Linked DNA regions of Danio rerio. The protein of the gene in region 1 purifies or fractionates together with the protein of each later gene. This does not show direct contact. Links are inferred from orthologs where the notes say so. Each region holds a gene or a part of one and is shown in the gene's direction. Other genes may lie near its edges.

Evidence for each region.
Region 2: the proteins of psmb3 (region 1) and psme3 purify together in Homo sapiens (affinity purification with mass spectrometry; 4 studies listed by BioGRID and IntAct, with this or other methods). This does not show direct contact. The link is inferred for Danio rerio from reciprocal best matches to the Homo sapiens genes PSMB3 and PSME3.
Region 3: the proteins of psmb3 (region 1) and psme1 purify together in Homo sapiens (affinity purification with mass spectrometry; 4 studies listed by BioGRID and IntAct, counting the BioPlex papers as one, with this or other methods). This does not show direct contact. The link is inferred for Danio rerio from reciprocal best matches to the Homo sapiens genes PSMB3 and PSME1.
Region 4: the proteins of psmb3 (region 1) and psme2 purify together in Homo sapiens (affinity purification with mass spectrometry; 3 studies listed by BioGRID and IntAct, counting the BioPlex papers as one, with this or other methods). This does not show direct contact. The link is inferred for Danio rerio from reciprocal best matches to the Homo sapiens genes PSMB3 and PSME2.
Region 5: the proteins of psmb3 (region 1) and fbxo7 purify together in Homo sapiens (affinity purification with mass spectrometry; 4 studies listed by BioGRID and IntAct, counting the BioPlex papers as one, with this or other methods). This does not show direct contact. The link is inferred for Danio rerio from reciprocal best matches to the Homo sapiens genes PSMB3 and FBXO7.

The regions. Positions count from the first base shown.
Region 1 is NC_133181.1:17,508,475-17,512,560, reverse strand, and holds the start of psmb3 (proteasome subunit beta type-3), read left to right. Parts: upstream 1-1,269; 5' UTR 1,270-1,402; coding exon 1,403-1,405; intron 1,406-3,526; coding exon 3,527-3,711; intron 3,712-3,816; coding exon 3,817-3,924; intron 3,925-4,086. Other genes in the region: uncharacterized protein si:ch73-193c12.2, read right to left, coding at 478-565, 641-734, 926-953. UniProt on the Homo sapiens protein: Non-catalytic component of the 20S core proteasome complex involved in the proteolytic degradation of most intracellular proteins. This complex plays numerous essential roles within the cell by associating with different regulatory particles.
Region 2 is NC_133187.1:29,024,203-29,028,511, reverse strand, and holds the start of psme3 (proteasome activator complex subunit 3), read left to right. Parts: upstream 1-1,497; 5' UTR 1,498-1,614; coding exon 1,615-1,656; intron 1,657-2,259; coding exon 2,260-2,292; intron 2,293-2,393; coding exon 2,394-2,456; intron 2,457-3,293; coding exon 3,294-3,398; intron 3,399-3,512; coding exon 3,513-3,561; intron 3,562-4,309. UniProt on the Homo sapiens protein: Subunit of the 11S REG-gamma (also called PA28-gamma) proteasome regulator, a doughnut-shaped homoheptamer which associates with the proteasome. 11S REG-gamma activates the trypsin-like catalytic subunit of the proteasome but inhibits the chymotrypsin-like and postglutamyl-preferring (PGPH) subunits.
Region 3 is NC_133199.1:14,416,719-14,419,794, forward strand, and holds the end of psme1 (proteasome activator complex subunit 1), read left to right. Parts: intron 1-1,951; coding exon 1,952-2,006; intron 2,007-2,094; coding exon 2,095-2,181; intron 2,182-2,302; coding exon 2,303-2,389; 3' UTR 2,390-2,567; downstream 2,568-3,076. UniProt on the Homo sapiens protein: Implicated in immunoproteasome assembly and required for efficient antigen processing. The PA28 activator complex enhances the generation of class I binding peptides by altering the cleavage pattern of the proteasome.
Region 4 is NC_133187.1:13,890,621-13,894,757, forward strand, and holds the start of psme2 (proteasome activator complex subunit 2), read left to right. Parts: upstream 1-1,332; 5' UTR 1,333-1,406; coding exon 1,407-1,454; intron 1,455-1,760; coding exon 1,761-1,793; intron 1,794-1,887; coding exon 1,888-1,950; intron 1,951-2,118; coding exon 2,119-2,205; intron 2,206-2,297; coding exon 2,298-2,343; intron 2,344-4,137. UniProt on the Homo sapiens protein: Implicated in immunoproteasome assembly and required for efficient antigen processing. The PA28 activator complex enhances the generation of class I binding peptides by altering the cleavage pattern of the proteasome.
Region 5 is NC_133179.1:953,643-956,193, forward strand, and holds the end of fbxo7 (F-box only protein 7), read left to right. Parts: exon of another isoform or gene 1-323; intron 324-391; exon of another isoform or gene 392-528; intron 529-1,531; coding exon 1,532-1,819; 3' UTR 1,820-2,049; downstream 2,050-2,551. UniProt on the Homo sapiens protein: Substrate recognition component of a SCF (SKP1-CUL1-F-box protein) E3 ubiquitin-protein ligase complex which mediates the ubiquitination and subsequent proteasomal degradation of target proteins and plays a role in several biological processes such as cell cycle, cell proliferation, or maintenance of chromosome stability.

The DNA.
Region 1 (4,086 bases):
TAAACACAGGTATTATCTCAATAAAATCCATAAATAAATTCACCAAGCAGACATAAGCCCAGGCCATGACGTGAATCCGTGTCTATTGTGAAGTGATTTTTATGCACAAATGAAGCTATAAAACTGAAAATGTCCATGCGTCTATTTACGTTTGAATAGCCTTTGGTGTGAACACATAATTAGAGTTTTAAATCTGCCACTATGTTAATGCATAGGCGTTTATAGCTCCACCCTCTTTTGGGGGTCTTTTTGATCATCTCATTTAAATTTAAAGTGACAGTCACCAAAACCGCACAATGTGGATCAAAGCCTAATGGGTTGTTTTTAAAGAGTCCTAAAACATTAATTGTGTGGTATTTTGAGCAGAAACTTAACATACACACCAGAGACTTAATTTACATCTTATAAAAAAGGGCATAATAGGTCACCTTTAAAGAATCTCTGAAGATGTCTGAATGCATGAATGAAACAATTCACCTTATACTTCTGTTTTAGATTCTCCCATTTCTTTCGAACCCACGTAGGTGCCACTTTCCCTTGCAGTTGTTTCTCTTTCACATACAACCTGTAGATTGAAAGCATCAAGTAAGACGAATGAAAGATATTAGTTTTCAGTAAAACAAGGACAGCTTTGACTCACTCGTATGCTTTAATGGCTGCATTTCTCCTGCCAGTAAACAGACTGTTGTTAGTGACTCTCCACACAATCAGATCTGCCGTGTTGGCATCAGTCCCTAAATGCACAGAGATGACTGGTAAATATACAGTTACTTGAAAATAGAATGAATTACATGGATAAAAACACGACGTGCTTCATAAGCATGCGGTTATTACTGGTGAAGTATTACGTGCAGGAAGCATCGTTAAACATATAAGTCTACTCATTGAGGGACACGTTTGGACGTTTTGAAAACTGTCAACTTACATTTAAAAATCATTTCCTCTGAGCCCATTTTAGTTTAGTGATTTGTTTGGCATTGTTTTCTTCTGTCCTTTTCCCACTAGTGTGGATTTAGAATGAAGACAGCGCATTACTGCCCTCTGTCGATAGATGGTGAAGTACAAGAAACTTTTATTCAGTTGTTGTCTTCCGTGACTTAGGTAAAACAAAATTCTCTAGCTTAATATATTATAAGAGTATGAATCAAACAGTATTTTAAACCTTTAGAATAGTAATGTAAAAGAAAAAAAAATTACAGTCAGCTAAGTATTTTGTCCAGCAGAGGCGCTGTAGGGAATGCGTAAGTCGGAAATGACGCAACCAGCAGGAACAACTAGCAGCGCTTGAAAGAAAGTGTGTAGTCACCGTGTGTTACCCGGTCTACTGTTGTATATTTCAGCACAACAGTCGTATTTTTCCAAATAATTCTTCATATTGGTCCCTACTTTTACATCCGCCATCATGGTAAGTCAGCATGCGTAAAGGATTAAGTTCTCTTGTTGAATACAATCGTCTGTATTAGCACTGTAGCTCATTTGCCATCTCATCTTTCCGGATGAAAGTTGCTATAGAATGTTTTATTCTAACATGAAGGCTATATTGTCTTTATTATGTAACTTTAATAAGTTGATAAGCACCCCTGAATAGTGAGTTTTAGTTAAATGGGGCGAGTAGATAATATTTTAATGGATTATTTGAATCGATCACATTTAACGTTAAATCGAAAGTAACTGTTTCACTGCATGTGTTAATTATAGATGTTGATCGGTAATCATAGACGTGCTTTATTAAATATATCAATTTTAAATGTCCCCCTTATAATAATACTTTTATAAACATTTCAGATATAAACGTCAGGCGAGGTACGAACACGAAAACAAAAGCAGCAAGCTGTCGTTTAACATTAGTTGTTGACACTTTAAATGCCTGCTCTATTGTTGGTTTTATATTCAGACATGCTGACCTTCTCCTTAATAATAAAATGTCAATAATGTAGTATTTGCGAATTCTATATTGTGAAATGATATTAGCAGCCAATAACTATCAAAGTACAACATGATTCACAGTCAGTGAATTAGTGCTGGTGTTGTTTTGAAGTCATGCTTGCATGTAATTTCACACCGAATTTTAAAAAGTATTTGGTAAACAATATAGGGACAATGTCGCAAAATGTCACTGAACGAATTTGTGCGAAGATAAAACCAACTTCACCTAGTTATTTTTACCTTTACTGTTTTAAATATTGTCCGTTTTAAATAATGATTTACACTACACACTATGGTTGGTTTACAAAAAAAAAAAACATAATACTGTTGCACTACTACACTTGATTTTGGTTTTTATTGTAAAAAAAATAGTCTTATACTTCATATTTTCAGATTTTAAAGTATATTTATATATAATTAATTCTGGTACTTTTACCGTAAACCGACATATTAACCATTCGGTAGAGATTGATATTTTAGAAATTATGCGATGTTGAAAAAAATGTGTTTAACTCGTGACATTAGGAGTTAAGAAATGCAATCTTTTTTTTTTCTTGGTAATGCAGTTATAGTAGAATCTGCAGCCATTTTTTTCTATTTTTGCGCATAATTAATATGTTAAGTTAAATGTGGATGTTGATCGCTAATCATAGGCGTGCTTTCTTTATTTTATTTAATACATACATACTTTTAAATTGTATCAGTGTTAAAATGGAAATTCCGCATTACCCTCTTTTGAGTTTATCACTTTTATAAGCATTTCTGATATGAATGCAAGACAAGGTACAAACACAAAACACACTGCAAAATATTGTTTAGTTATTAAATCCATTATAACTAAATTATTAGTTGTAGGATCTGTGGCCATTTTTTGCTATTTATGTGCATACCTTTGTTAAAATAAATATCTGCAGGGTAATGAGGAATGATTTTGAGAGTATAGTAACTAAACTTAAAACACGAAAAAACAAATCACTTTTTAACTTATATTGGTTAAAAGTCTCAAAATATATATGAGATATCTACTAAAAGACAGAAGATATTACCTTACAAACTGTAATGCAAATAAATTATGTAAACCTACATAATATTCAATAATACTGAAATTAATAAAAGAACTATATATATATATATATATATATATATATATATATATATTTTTTTTTTTTTTTTTTTTTAATTTACATTAGTACATGAGTAAATAAAAAGTACTTTTCCCTCAAAAATATTATATAATGTTATTTATTTTAATATAGCATACAATTGAATGTTATTGATTGCAGTGTGTGTTGGTTGTTGCTAGATCAGATACGGTTGGGGCCAGAAGTTAACAAGAATTATTTATAAAATTTCCCATTTATTGTATTTTATTAACTTCTACCCTAACCTTAAACTCAACTGTCACAGTACTGTAAAAATATTAGTTATTTTTATACAGTGTTACAAAAATGATGCTATATTGATGTATGTATCGTATCAACAGCTGTAACCTATCTAGACTTTACCATGTGTATTGTGGTACAATGATGATGACAACATGTTTATGTTTATAATGACAGTTCGAAATATGTATCTGTAATTGTTTCTTTTCTGTCTATAGTCTATTATGTCATATAACGGAGGTGCCGTCATGGCAATGCGTGGAAAGGAGTGTGTGGCGATAGCATCAGACCGGAGGTTTGGCATCCAGGCGCAGCTGGTTACCACTGACTTCCAGAAGATCTTTCCTATGGGAGAGAGACTCTACATCGGACTGGCAGGCCTTGCCACAGATGTGCAGACAGTGTAAGAATGCATCAAATGTGTAAAGATCTTATCAAATGAAACTCAACTCGTGCCTTTTTATTTGTTTCTAAACTAGTCTTTTAAAATCTTTTTCCTTTATTCTAGATCTCAAAGGCTGAAGTTCCGCCTGAACCTGTATGAGCTGAAAGAAGGTCGTCAGATCAAGCCAAGGACCTTCATGAGCATGGTGTCCAATCTTCTGTATGAGAGGAGGTAAAAATGCACTTCTGAAGAATTATAATTTATGAACCAAATTATCCAGTTACAAGGTGAATCACAATATTACAAACTCTTATTTGAAGCTAAAACCTACTTTACATTACTGCAGCCTATGCTAAGGGATCAAAGGTCTACTCAAGAAAGTGGTTCAGTTAT
Region 2 (4,309 bases), on another chromosome or scaffold:
CCGAAAGTAGTTTTAATCTAAAAGTTATAAACAGAAAATGTAAAGAAGGCACAGTAAGATTAAAACGAGAACGATATTTTACATCGTTAGTGTTTATTTAGAAGCTGTCATCTGATTTATGGCCGAACAGAAAGGTCAAGAGCAAATAATAGATATTGCTGCAATTTACATCACTGTGGATTTTAAAAGAAGACCCAGCTAAAATACATGTTAAGACATATTTTCTATGACAGGATTAAAGAATTTGCCTGTACGTTATTCGTTTTTAGCATCCGGTTAAAGGTTTGTTTATGTAGGCCTCAGCTACGGCCTTGTAGGACCAAGAAATGTAAACGTCCCCACATAAACGCCACCCAGCAAGGCTTAATGACTCCTTACCCAGGCCTCCACAGTCTCCCACTGTGCTTTGTTCGTGTCCAAGACTGGAAATTTCTTCACGTTGCCCCTAAAGTTCACTTTGACAGTGACGGGGAGGTTCATGTCTGTGAGCCAGAGTCAACGGAAGCGTTTGATGAGGGGATACGACGCTCTAAATGCCCGTGGTGCTGTCAACACTGTGAGACTTGTCTTTTGCGTTCTTGTTTACATCGCTAGATTCAGACACGCCTCCAATGTACGTCACAGGAAGTGTCTCGGATTTGCTTACGTTCGAACAAAATATTTTTATACTTTTTATCAAATATCAAAATAAAAATTGTTCAATGGTAAGCGAAAGCTTTTAATTGTTCTTGTGGGTACTTATATTGTGATTTCATCAAATAATTTATGTACAGCGAGAAATATGACGCAGACATGCGCTTCACTCTTTTCCAAGTCGTCAAGAACATAGATATATCAAAATACATAGATACCGTGTTAAAAGCGATATTCACGTCAGGGATCAGATTTACCTTTTAAAGAGAGAAATAGAATTTGTAGCCATAATGTCAAACTCTATTACTAGTATTATTCTTAATGTTCTATTTTATTATTATTACTTACAAGAACAACAGTGGTAATAATAAATAAATAAATAATGGTTTATTATGATTATTGATTGATGATTGTTGATGTTGTTCTTGTCATTTATTTTCATTATTGTTATAATTATTACTTAAATTACAGTATCTCTGTTATTGTTTGTTTGTTATTTCCCCCATGTTCATTAATATATTCTATTAACCATAAATTTTTTATCTAATTTGCAATTAATAAACCAGCTAAATCAAAATGACCTGACCTTTTCATCAGCGAATAAGCCCAGTTTAAACTGGGTCAGCAAACCCCAAATGTTTTATAGTAGCCTACATCAAACAGTCCATACTTTTGATCCAGCACAATTCACCCAACAATGTGTTCAAATAAATAACCCAGTACTTTTTTCAGTGTCTATTTAGAATACAGCCAAACCGCACACGAATAAGCTGCGTTGTCGTTGCATTAATTCGACTGAATTTGGTCACGAATGCCAGACTCTTTCTGCACATCTATCATGTATTCGCATCTATGGCCTCTGTGTTTTACGTCATCTAAAAGCGCGCAAGTGCCTTGTGGCTGACAGCAGTTAGTAAGCCACACGGTTAGTTAATGCTTTTAGGACAATCCCTTCATTTTCACATTTCTTGAATTAATACGATGTCTTCGCTCCTGAAGGTGGACAATGAAATCAAAACAAAGGTAAAAGTCTTAACGTTTCTTTTATTTAAACACGCCGCACTCAAATAAACTGTTTGTAAATGTTAGCATTGCGGCTAGCCGGCTTGCCCGTGAGTCACCTCGTGAGCACATCTGCTAACTTTCAGATCCAGATTTGCTTGTAAAATCAAACAGTTTTCAAATAAAATATTGATTTAAACGTTAAGTACGTTCGGATTGTATATATCAGATCACCAAGCTGAAGCCGAAGCCCCCACATGTTCGGCGGAGTCGTTGTTAACAGCGGGTGTGCGGATGAAGCGTGTTTTTAGCACAGCAGCATGTCGTTACGGGAGAATTGGAGAGAAGTTTGCCATCGTTTTTTTCCATTAGCGAGCTAAAAGTAATTTTTAATATCTACTTATTTTGTCAAAGGTTTACAGTTAAGATCATGAGGCTAATAAATTAATCCAGCGGGATTGTGCAGTTCTACATTCAGCGCCCTAAAACAGAAAGGCCGCCAGCTGTTTTGTTTTCTTAAAGCGATTTTATTAAAAATAATAAAAGCAGTGACTGCAAAATTCAGATTGGGAATTGCCTTAGTTGTGTTTCTAAAATTACATATTAATGTTTTTGTCTTGTCAGGTTGATGCTTTTAGAGAACGAATTACATCAGAGGTAAATTAACGGAGATTACATGTATAAATTATACATGTATTATTTATATACCGACATTTCTTTGACTATTTGACACTTATTGTTTTATTGTTGACATATAGGCTGAAGACTTGGTTGCAAACTTTTTCCCGAAGAAATTGTTAGAACTGGACCAGTTTTTGAAGGTAAGTGTTTGATGGTGGTTTATGATCAGGGTTTTGCTTTGTCTCTCTTCAGATTGAAGGCAAAAAGTCGTAAATTGGAGCAGAACGTTTTAAAATTGCAAAGTCTTGATTAAATGCTGCATGCACTTCAATGATTTGAATGATTTTTAGTTTGTTGTCCAGGACAAAAATCTAAACGTCCTTCAATTAAATCACATTGACTTGTTATGAAAAATTATTTTTTTCATTGTAAATGTTAAAGAAGAACTTTAAAAATCTCAACGGCTACATATCTTGAAATGAAAAGTCAGACTTTTGAGAAATCAAACTTAAATAATAATGCTTAAAACAAGTTTCTGCAGTTTTTTTGTTAGAAGTTCACTTTACTTTGGAAAAGTTTTTCAATGAGAAAACCCAACCCAAAAAGTTGGTGTGGCTAATACAGCCCATGGTCTAACACAGGAGACTGTCTTATATTTTTTATTATTTTTGTAGACTGAAGTAATTGACAGCTATGTTTTGTTCTGATATTTGTAAGGGCTTTAGAGTTTGTGAATGGATATATTTGACAATTATTTAAAAAAATCAAACTAAATTATTAATATTATAATTGTTTTGTTAAATGTATTACATTACAAAAAAAGTTATAGGGCAACTGAAAATCTTTTCTAACTGGGATATTTAAAAATAATCCTTAGCATTTGTAAAATTTTGCAATTTAATTCGTAATGGTCTAAAAAAATCTTAAATTTTACTTGGTGAAACCCAGATGTTGTTTTAAAAGGGGCTGAAACCCCAAAATGATGCATTGAGTCTTTTACCTGTTGTACAAACACTCATACATTTGATCACTTGTAGGATCCCACAATTAATATCACGGAGCTGCAGGAAATTCATTCAGAGATCAATCTGACAGTGCCAGACCCAATTCTGCTTACAGACATCCACGATGGGATTGAGGGGGTAAAAGTCATTTTCTTCAAGTGTCTTCTTCATTAGTCAGTCATATCATCTATTGATGTTGATCAAAAATCTCTGAATATGATAAAAAGATAACCTTGACATTTTTCTCAATAGCAAAATGCTAAAAAGAGGAAATTTGAAGATGGAGCAGGAGACGACAAAGGTGGGTATTGTCTTTAGTTTACCAAGTTAAACAAATATGTTTTGAAAGTGTGCAGTGTTGATTGTCAATGATAACACATACTTGTTTTATTAAATGCTCATATTGAAACTGGGAAATATTTCATTCTGTTTTTTATATTTATGCAAAGAATATTTATATTAACTATAAATAAATATTTATGAGCAATTCTCAGTGCAACACTGGTGTTTTGGCCCTGGGTGAATGTATTTTGCATTAATCATTTTACTCTTCCTAAAGACAGGTTTCAATTCATTTAAACTTTTTGCTGCCCCTACTGGCTGTTTTAGAGTTGTATTTGTATAATCATGACTGTGTTTTATTCATGACAGGCCAAACACTCTGCAAAATACTGTTGAAATTTACTGGGGGAAAAAATAAAAACGGAGATCTTGTTTGTTTGTTGTTTTGTTTGTTTTTCGTTTGTCTTTTTTCCTCTCTTTTCCATGTGCTCTGCTGTGCTGACAGATCCAGCCCTCACTCTTCTTTACATTATACTAAAGTTCCTGTTTGTACAGTGTGTCTTAAAGTATTAAAAGTTGATCAATTAATGTAGAGAAATTTAAGGCCCTCAAAGTGTTGAATGCTATTTTGCAAGGTATTACATTTTTTATAATTTTTGATTATACAATGTATGGTTTTATGCTAAAGTTTGCCTGAATTCTGTGAATATCGGGATGCTGTGTAGTTTATGAAATCATACTAGATTTGATATCATGCTGCTTTATTG
Region 3 (3,076 bases), on another chromosome or scaffold:
TTTTTAATTTACTCGTCATCATTCTAAACTAGCAAACATCCTCTTCCTCCTCGGTAGTTGCTCATTAACCATTGATGAGTTCACTACAACGTGTGGTCAGTCTAGGCTAAAATCTGAAGTGAACATAACAGTGGTGTGAATAGTGGTGTCAATCAGTGTGTCACACGATCAGTTGCTAAATTTAAATCTGCTTTCCCACAAGGGCTGGAGTGTTGATGTGAGGCATGCTTAACATCTATCACAACTTATCAGGGTTTTCAATCACATTAAACTTAAATTAGGTTTCTGACATTGAAATACACATTATTAATTGCAAAACTAGCATTTATAGTTTATAAAATACACTGCTGTTGTCTGGCAAAAAAAATAATAACCACATTAAACATAATCTTAATGAAATACTTGCTGATGTACCATGCACCATGTACCATGTCATATAGAGCATACTTTACGAAGTAAGTTAAAATTTAAGCTGTTGCTTAGTACCAAATTTAATTGAATCCTTTATTTAAGTTTGAAACATCAGTATGATAAAAAACAGGGTATCTTCCATCCAATCGATATCCGTTTTCAAACAAAAAAAGGAAAATGAAGAAAACTGCCGTTTTTCCATTTTCATTTGAATCACCAAACATCTTGCTGTTTTGCACCTGATGCTGAGCAAAGACAGCCATTTTCAAGCAGCATCTGGTTTGCATGATTGTTTCCGAGCTACTGTAGGCCTAAATAACAATAATAATACTAATAATAATAATATTTAATATTGTTCACTTACTGTTTTTAATTGTTTAATTTTTTAAATAGGGCTCAGTAGCTACAACAAAGGTTACTATATTTAAAATTACTTTAGTTCCTCCTACTGGTTTTGTTTCGGCTATATATATATATATATATATATATATATATATATATATATATATATATATATATATATATATATATATATATATATATATATATAGGCCTAGCCCAGGGCAGGCTATACTGAATATTTTAAATAAGTGGGTTTAAATAAAATACAATAGGATCGTTGGCTGTGCACGAGCAACATCTTAGGTATAGCCAACTCATTTAAGAGCTGAACTAAAAAAAGTTAAGGTCAATACAATACGGTCAGCCGCAATGCCTATTTCACATGTGTTTTCTCACACAACAAGACTTTTGAGACTTGGATTTCGAAAACACTGGATTAATGAACAAATTTTCAGAGAAACTAATTAAACACATACTTATAATTCATAATAAATAATGTGTTGTAGTTTAGACTAACAGATAAGCTTTCTGTCTGTGCGTTGCGCTAATATTGAACTTGACATTTGCTCTTTGTGACCAAACTATGTAATACAGCGGGCCCAGTTCCATATTGCACATATAAATATTGTATATAGGCTACTATTCCGTGCTGCCAACTGTTTGCATTTTATTTTATGCATTTACTATTGCATAAAATAATAAAAAAGGCAAGTGCGCTCGTAAAGCGTGTGATACGCACAGAAATTCATGCATTCTGAATTAAGTTTTCTTTAACCTAATTCTGCTTAAATTGTAGAAAATCTTTAAAATGACAGGACTTTAATCAAGCCTTTTTCATCTGGAGAATAACAGTAATTAATAGTTTAGTCCTTATTAATAATCTACATGTGTATAATGAATTTTGAAGTAGTTTATCCATTTTCCTACCCTAAATAAAAAAAAATGAAAATCGAGCAAAAATATAGTTTTTTCGTTTCTTGTGAGCAAATGAAAAACAGAAAAACGCCCGTTTTCTTCATTTTCCTTTTTTTTTTGTCTGGAAACGGATATGGATTGGTCGGAAGATTGATTGATAACCCTGATTGATAACCCTGGATTATTAGTTAAAGCTGGGTAAATGAAGCAGTGTGCAAAGTGAAGGTGTTTTAAAAGTTATAATGTTTTATAAGGGTAAAAAACAGTTTTGTTGTTTCCTCAGGTACTACAGTGAGAGAGGAGACGCTGTAGCCAAGGCTTCCAAACAGCCACATGTGGTCAGTTTAATTTATTGTTAGTTCTTTTTTTGTATATGCTTTGAGCTTCTGATAATGATTTTAACCCTGCTTTTCTTCTGGGCAACAGGGAGATTTCCGACAGCTTGTTCATGAACTGGATCAGCACCAGTATTGTGAGTTACGCATCATAGTTCTGGAGATTCGCAACACTTACGTAAGTTCTGTCTCGGCTTTCCCTGAAAACAACATCTCAGTGCTGCATTTCTCATCATTCATGTAAGTTGGTGAGTCTGTAAGATGGCTGTGACTGATTTCATCCATTCCTTCGACTCTAGGCCATGCTGTATGATGTCATCACCAAGAACTTTGACAAGATTAAGAAGCCCAGGGGAGACTTATCTTCAAAAGCACTTATCTACTGAGCAACCAGGCTGATGTGCACTGAAATCACACACGCAAACACACACACATTTACTGAAAAGTAAAACATGCCGTATTGAGTTTCATAACCACAGTCACAGTGCAGTGACTTGAGATACGATTACATCAACAGAATGTGCTGTATTACAGTTTTTAATTCAATAAATAGTTTAGGCTAAATAGGGTGTCACTTGTGTTTTTATTGAAAAGGTCAAGTGAAAAAAATACTTACTTTTAAATTATAAATGCTTGTAAAGATCAAGTGATGACATTAAATAATATATTTTTCAAGACACCTATACAGCTTACAGAGACATTTAAAGGCTTAACTAGGTTCATTAAGTTAAGTAGAAGGTTAGGGTAATCAGGAATGTTATTGTATAACAGTGGTTTGTTCTGTAGATTATCGAGAAAAAATATAGCTTAAAGGGGCTAATAATTTTATCCCTAAAATGATGTTTAAAAAATTAAAAACTGCTTTTATTGTAGCCGAAATAAAACAAACACATTTTTTTCCAGAGGAAAAAATATTATCATACATACTGTGAAATTTAAATTTTAAAGGGGGCTTATCATTCTCTATGTACAAAATGCAAACTTGATCTTTACAGGCATTATATATATATTTTTAGCTCTCTATGTGAAACATATATTCACATGATGTACATGTTTAGAAACTCTTCACAATA
Region 4 (4,137 bases), on another chromosome or scaffold:
TGACAATGTTGGTGTTTTATTTTTGTGGAACTACTTTTTTATTTCACTCTGCTCTTTAAAAACCTGCATTTTCTTGCTGAGAGCTTCAAACTAACTATTTAAAATGTTTTACGTTTAATTTTAGACTTGTCATTTGGATTTGTATGTCTAAACTGTCAAGAAAATATTTTCTTCCGATACTAACAGTAACAGGTGCTTGTTAAACATTTACTCAAAAACTAATACACCACGTTATTTTAGATATCAAGGAGATCTTTTGCCAAGTTTAACAACTGCCCGTTTAAAGGCCCGTTTATGTTAATTTTGTATGTTTTTCCTGTGTTGAAGTGGGTTTCCTCTAGGTGAAGGTTAGATTAATTTGAAACAGTATTGCTTGTGTGTAGAAATGTGTATGTGTCCAATATATCGTTAGTCTTGAGATTGACTGCCAATCTGACCAGGATGTTCCCCAGCATTCAGCCCAGGACGACGGATAAATTCCAGCATCCCAGACACCCCCCTTAGACAAGCGTTTTATATGGAGGATGAAAGAAAATTGGCAGAAATTCCAAGAATTCACAACAAAAAAGGCATAATAAAATCTAAAATCTACGCAATCAAATCAAGGCTCTTTATGTCAATCGAAGACAACATTTAATTTAGCAGTAAACGCTTTATTCCTCATATAAAAGCTTCGTAAGAATACACTCACCCTTATATTGTTCTTCCCTTTTGTAGTAGTCAAATAAAAAAATCCACTGATTAAATCAAACAAATTAAAACAGAAATATTTTGCTGTTTACTTCATAAACACTTCATAAAAGCGAACGGACATTGAGGATGACTGCGGCGTTGTTTCTTCTTCGTGACGTCATGGTCGTGCTTTTGCACAAATCACGCATTACTGCCGCCTGCAGGGCTTGATTTTTCCCCAAAACGACCGTGCTTGAGGAAAAGGAGAAGCCATTATAACAATAATCTATATGAATAATAATTATAATAATTAATAATAGTGCATAGTTTGGGACATATTCCATTAGGATTTTGTGGCGCTCAATTTTAATTTTATTTTTTCTCTTTATCTTGTGTTCTGTCTCTGCTTTTACATAAACATAACGTTTAAGCTATTAATTGCTATTTGTGTTAATTATCAAGGCATTGGTTGAATGACGATTCCTTATTTCTTATAAAATTGTCATATTTCTGTATTAAATAAAAACAGATAGAAATGGGTGTTGTAACATTTTCGACAGTAATATGGAAATGCATATTTTTGGTAGTTCACCGGTACTTACCCAGAGTCCTGACGTGAACCCAGTGGGCGTCGTTTAGAAATCGAAAGTATCGCGAAGGGAAATTTGTCATCTAAACGTCTGCGTCTCTCTGCTTGCGACCTGCTTCGCTTATTAAGACAAATTGCTTTCATTATGTCTAAAGCTAATGTACTGAAGCTAAACTCTGATAATGCAGTGAGGGTAAGTTCATCTTTATAATCTTTATATAATCTCCGTTTACAAACTCGAAGTAAAAACCGTTTGTTTAAGCTGTGCATTGAGTATGGAACCTGTAAGACGTTTTAAAGGTCTTTTTGTCGAATGTATGGATGTTATCGAACGTAACAACTGCTTAATATCTCAATTTATATGTTACAAAAATCCTGAGTCACACTTCCTCATTGACAGTGAAAGTGAAAGTAACTTTACCTGAAGCGCGATGCTTGTAGAAAAATAATTTCTAAGATAAATGAATTGTAATTGAACGTTTGTCTTATCTTCATCCAGATAGAAAACTACCGCCAGTCACTGTATAAGCAGGTATGAGTTTACTTCAGATAATCCAAACATAGGCTGCATTCAGTCTTGTTGCTGCACTGTTGTTTGTGTTGACTGATAGTTCTTTTGTTGACAGGCAGAAGACCTGTTCTCCAATTACATACCATTGAAGATCTCACACCTTGACAACCTGCTGAAGGTATATTTTGCGAACATTTGATTATTTGGCAGATGTGACTACATGCTAATAAACACTAGGCTATATGTGTCTTTAAATGAACTCATCATTACCCTGTTCCAGCTCAACAGAGTTGTTTTAGCTTGAATTCAGCAACAACTGAATTAAAATATTTCTTTATGATTTTAGGGCGATGAGTTTAGTATCACTGACCTCTCATCTCTCCATGCACCCCTGGACATACCCATTCCTGATCCCCCTGCCCCAGAGGACGAGGTTGGCATGCAGCTCAATATTGATAATTATGCTTTCTGAATTAATATTACAAATATTAATTATGACAATATGTATGTAAAATATTTCAATAGGAGATGGAGACAGATAAAAATGAAGATGATGAGAAAAAGAAGAAAGGTAATGTGTACACACACACACACATACGTGACGGGTTTCACAATTTCTCCAACTATTACTTTTCAGCATGTTTGAACCACAGGAAGTAAAAACTATTTTTAGTAGTGGAATAATAGTAACTACCAGTGATGTACGTGTAAGATAAATGGCTGAAAACATGTAAAAACTGGCGCAGAAATTATGTGTTACTAAACAAATACCGTACTAAAAGCTAATGTTAGCTGCATTTACCTATTGGCAGCTAGTTACTAGAACCATATTTCTGCAGTTTAACTAATTATTGGCATGATTCTGTCTCGTAAGACAATGGAATCTATGCCATGGGATCTTTATTTGCTGAGTTACATCACCTGCTGTGACTATAAAACCTAATTCTGGAAGAGCATGTTCATTTGCAATGATTGCAAGTAGGTGCATCATGTGTTTTTGTAATTTTTAAGTTGAACCATGTTAATTTTGTAATACCTGTGTCATTATAAACATAGCCAAGAACACACACACAGCTGTATCTGGCTGGTCATGTGAACTCAATAAGGACAATTTTGTTTTTGGTGTTAGATGACAATGCAGATTTAGAGGATCTGTGTAGGAATTTGATCTAGTCTATTTGCAATGTCCTGTGTCTGATTTGTCTGGTGTTCAAAGCCAGTCATCAAAGTTTTGTCAGGGCACAAAAGGTTAGTCACCGACAAGTCTTTTCTGATTCCCAAACATTCAAAATCATTTGGTGTGTCCTAAATTGCACAATTATGCTCTATTCTGTTCAACCATGCCATACACTTTAGAAAAACACTCTTTAAATACCTGCATCATGCACTTAGGCCCAATCCCAATTCTATTTCTGTACCCCCACTCCTTTCCCTTGGTCCTTGAAACCAAGTCTGAGGGGAAAGGACTCCAAAATTTACCCCTTAGAATTGGTAAACCATTACAACACCTGCACACGTCATCATATGTTGCCGCGATATCTTCATATAAGATCGAGGATTACAACTGCTGTAGTTATTCCAATTGTGTTATTTTTGGGTATTTATCTTCAGGAAGTCACTGAAGGCAAAGATATCATGCTATCAAAACGATATAATGTGGCAATAAGTACTTTGCACTGTTACACAGTGGCCATATGCATAGACCCTAGTTATACCCCGACACCAGAATTTTCTGACAGGGTATTCGAGTGACAGATGTAAATTTATGTTGTGGGACTACTATACAGGAGTTATTATTATGGATTATAGATAGAAAAATTTAGCGGGGTTTTTTTTTTTTTTTTTGAAAGTTTTTTTTTAAAGCATGACGGTAAAACACAAATGCTGTTATGAATGTATTAAAACATATGTTTGTATGTTGTTGACAAAAAATACTAATTCGTGCATCTACTGACTTCTGTGTGCATATTTTGTACCTATTAGTTAGGAGTGTGGTTTCGAAAAATCTGTTTCAAGGGCTATTTAGCCTTCAAGCTAAAGAGAACTTTAGTAAGGGGGGTAAGGGGAAGGGCTAAGGGGTAGAATTGGGATTGGGCCTTATTCAGCTGATACAAAGTGTCAGTTTTGAAAACGTTATGCACTTAACGCTTACAGCTTTGCTAGTGGAATGGAAGGCGTTATCAAGCTCTCAAGTTTAAAACAATTATTTTGAATTGTGTAAGCAAATTTTTTTTATACCACCTCCTGGTGGTGACTGGGGTTATATTCAGGTACTATTTGGTAGCTTGCTAATTTATGGAAACTGTTTAATGTTAACTGTAAACTTTTATATTTCTGGATAGTAAACAAGGGTGTCACACAGATC
Region 5 (2,551 bases), on another chromosome or scaffold:
TGTCTGACGAAACACTGCAAACATGTTTCAAAATCAAATCACTATTCAAAACACCAACACATGCTCTCCTCCAACAGGAACATTTAGTCAATCAGAACACACTGATGATAAAACACACTCATCAGCTGCAGTATTGTATGTGTCAGCTCTGCTCTTATATTTGAAGCCTCTCTACAGTTTTGTGTTGTTGGCTTTAGTAAACGCAGGCATTTTGTTTCTTTTGTTGGAGAAATTCTATACAATAAATGAGCGACCGTCTCAGAGTAGCTTTATACAATGTACAGCTTATGTAAAAAAATACATACAGACACAGAATTGCTGCAGTACAGACTTTATTTGCAAAAGGACACCACTGCAAGATAATCACATCAGAAAAGCAATGCAATTATAGTGAAAAAACAAAACAAAAACAAAGTTATGTTTCATTCTGCCCGGTCTTCTGCATTTGGCCATGTTTTGCATCGTGGGAAGAATCCTTTGGCATGCTTTATCCAATTAGCTGTTTCTCATTGGCAGTGGAATAAAATATAGGGAATGAATTAGCGTTTCAATGGCAATATTTACAACTGTTCACTTTGACAAGTTATGGTTAGAGCATGGTGTTATCGGCTCTGACATACTGCTTGGAAGCATTTGTAAATTTGACTGTAACATGACATAGTTTTGGTCTTGGTTGAGCTTGTTTGTAAAAGAAGTTCAAGCATTTTAAATTGGTGGTAAGTGGATGCATTTTGTATTAAAGCAACAAGAAATGTGTTAATTGTATGGGTCACGCAGATGAATGTGCTAACCGTGTTAAGAGTTTAGGAAACTTGTCACATCTATTGAAAAGACTGTCATAGCCATTGTAAAAAAACAAAAAATAATAATAATATTTTCTACAGGATGCTGTACAGTAACGTGTGCATATACATCAGAATGTTAAAAGATTAGTCAGAACCAAATACAAAACTGATCAACTAATCTATCGAAATATCTGAAGATCAGTGTGAACATTATTGCACATATATTTAGATATGAGGGGAAATCTAATGCATTTAAGAGAAAGGGAAAAAAAATCACCTACATTTCTTCCATTGTTTCTCTAGATTTTTTCCTATTGATTACAATTGTGTTTGATCTTTATATTCCTATAGATGTACAGTGACTAAAGTCTTATTTCATAGGCTAGAACTGTTTAATAAATCTGCTTCGCACCTAATATTATATATATCCGCTGAGAACTGGATAAAGATGTTTACTTTTAAAAGGGGGTGAAGTGATTTAATGCTGATCTATTATAATCATTTATGCAGTCTATTATGTTCATGTAGAACAGCAGCAGCTACAGATGAACATTGTATGCCATTAAATATTAAAGGGCTCCCATTTGACCTGTTTACAAGATGTAAGAAATCTAGTGTCATCAGATTCATTAAATTGCAGAATATGTCCATTTTGTGCTGAAAGCTGAGTGATTTGGCTGATTGAGTAGCCTGTGCTGACAAGCGTTGCATCATATGTGGCCTTTAATGTTGTTTGTCCTCCTCAGCTGTACAAGCAGAAGTACAGGCAGAGGAAGGAGGCGGCGCGGCGGGGAAGACACTGGTTTTATCCACCTCCCATCAGCCCTCTGATCCCTTTTCCATCCCCACCGGCACCGCTGCCACTCTACCCTCCTGGCATCATCGGTGGAGACTATGACCAGATGCCCGTCATCCTTCCTCGGCCACGCTTCCACCCCATTGGGCCACTCCCAGGAATGAGTGCTCCTGTAGGCCGGCGCAGTCTGAGGCCGGCAGGAAGTGGAGCAGCAGACGTGAGGAGAGCGTTTATCTGAGCACGCAGGCATTTGACTCTTATTTTTCTGCAATTTAACATTCCTGACGGATAAACGCAAGCAAACTGGAAAAATTGACTGACACTATTCTTTATGAAAGCGTCACATGTGTTGGAGAAATGAGTGGATTAAGTGGTGTGGTGACTGTAATGATTAATTTTGATTGATTGTATTTGATTGTTGCTCAAATCTGAATTGATAGTAAATAAAGTCAAGCCTGCTTCTCCTCATCACTGTTGCTCCATGTGCTTTTATTTTGAATATAAATGTATTTTATTGCAGTTGAAACTTTCATCAACAAAAAAAGATCTGTCTTATTTAGTTGCTATTGTTTTTATCTTTATTTGATGTGTTAGAGCTGCACAATATTGGAAAAAGCTGACATTGCGATATCAGATGATTTGACTAGCTGTAATTAGAAAGATTTCATAAAATAACCTCAACTGGCATGAAGTCTTCGTCTTTGCAGTGCATAAGCATCAATTATAAGAAATTACAAGCAATAATAAATTAATAAACAGCCTTATTGTTTTCTGGGAAGTCTAACAGTATTTAAGTACAGACATTAAATTGAAAGAAAAATGTGTTTAGCATTGTATAAGTGGAAAATATATATAAAATGTAATGTTTATCTTTTAATCTGTTATAGAAAATGTAATGCTTAGATGTGACTATTGCAGATACACACATTGTAATATCCATGCTCAAACAATATATTGTTCAGTGTGTGTG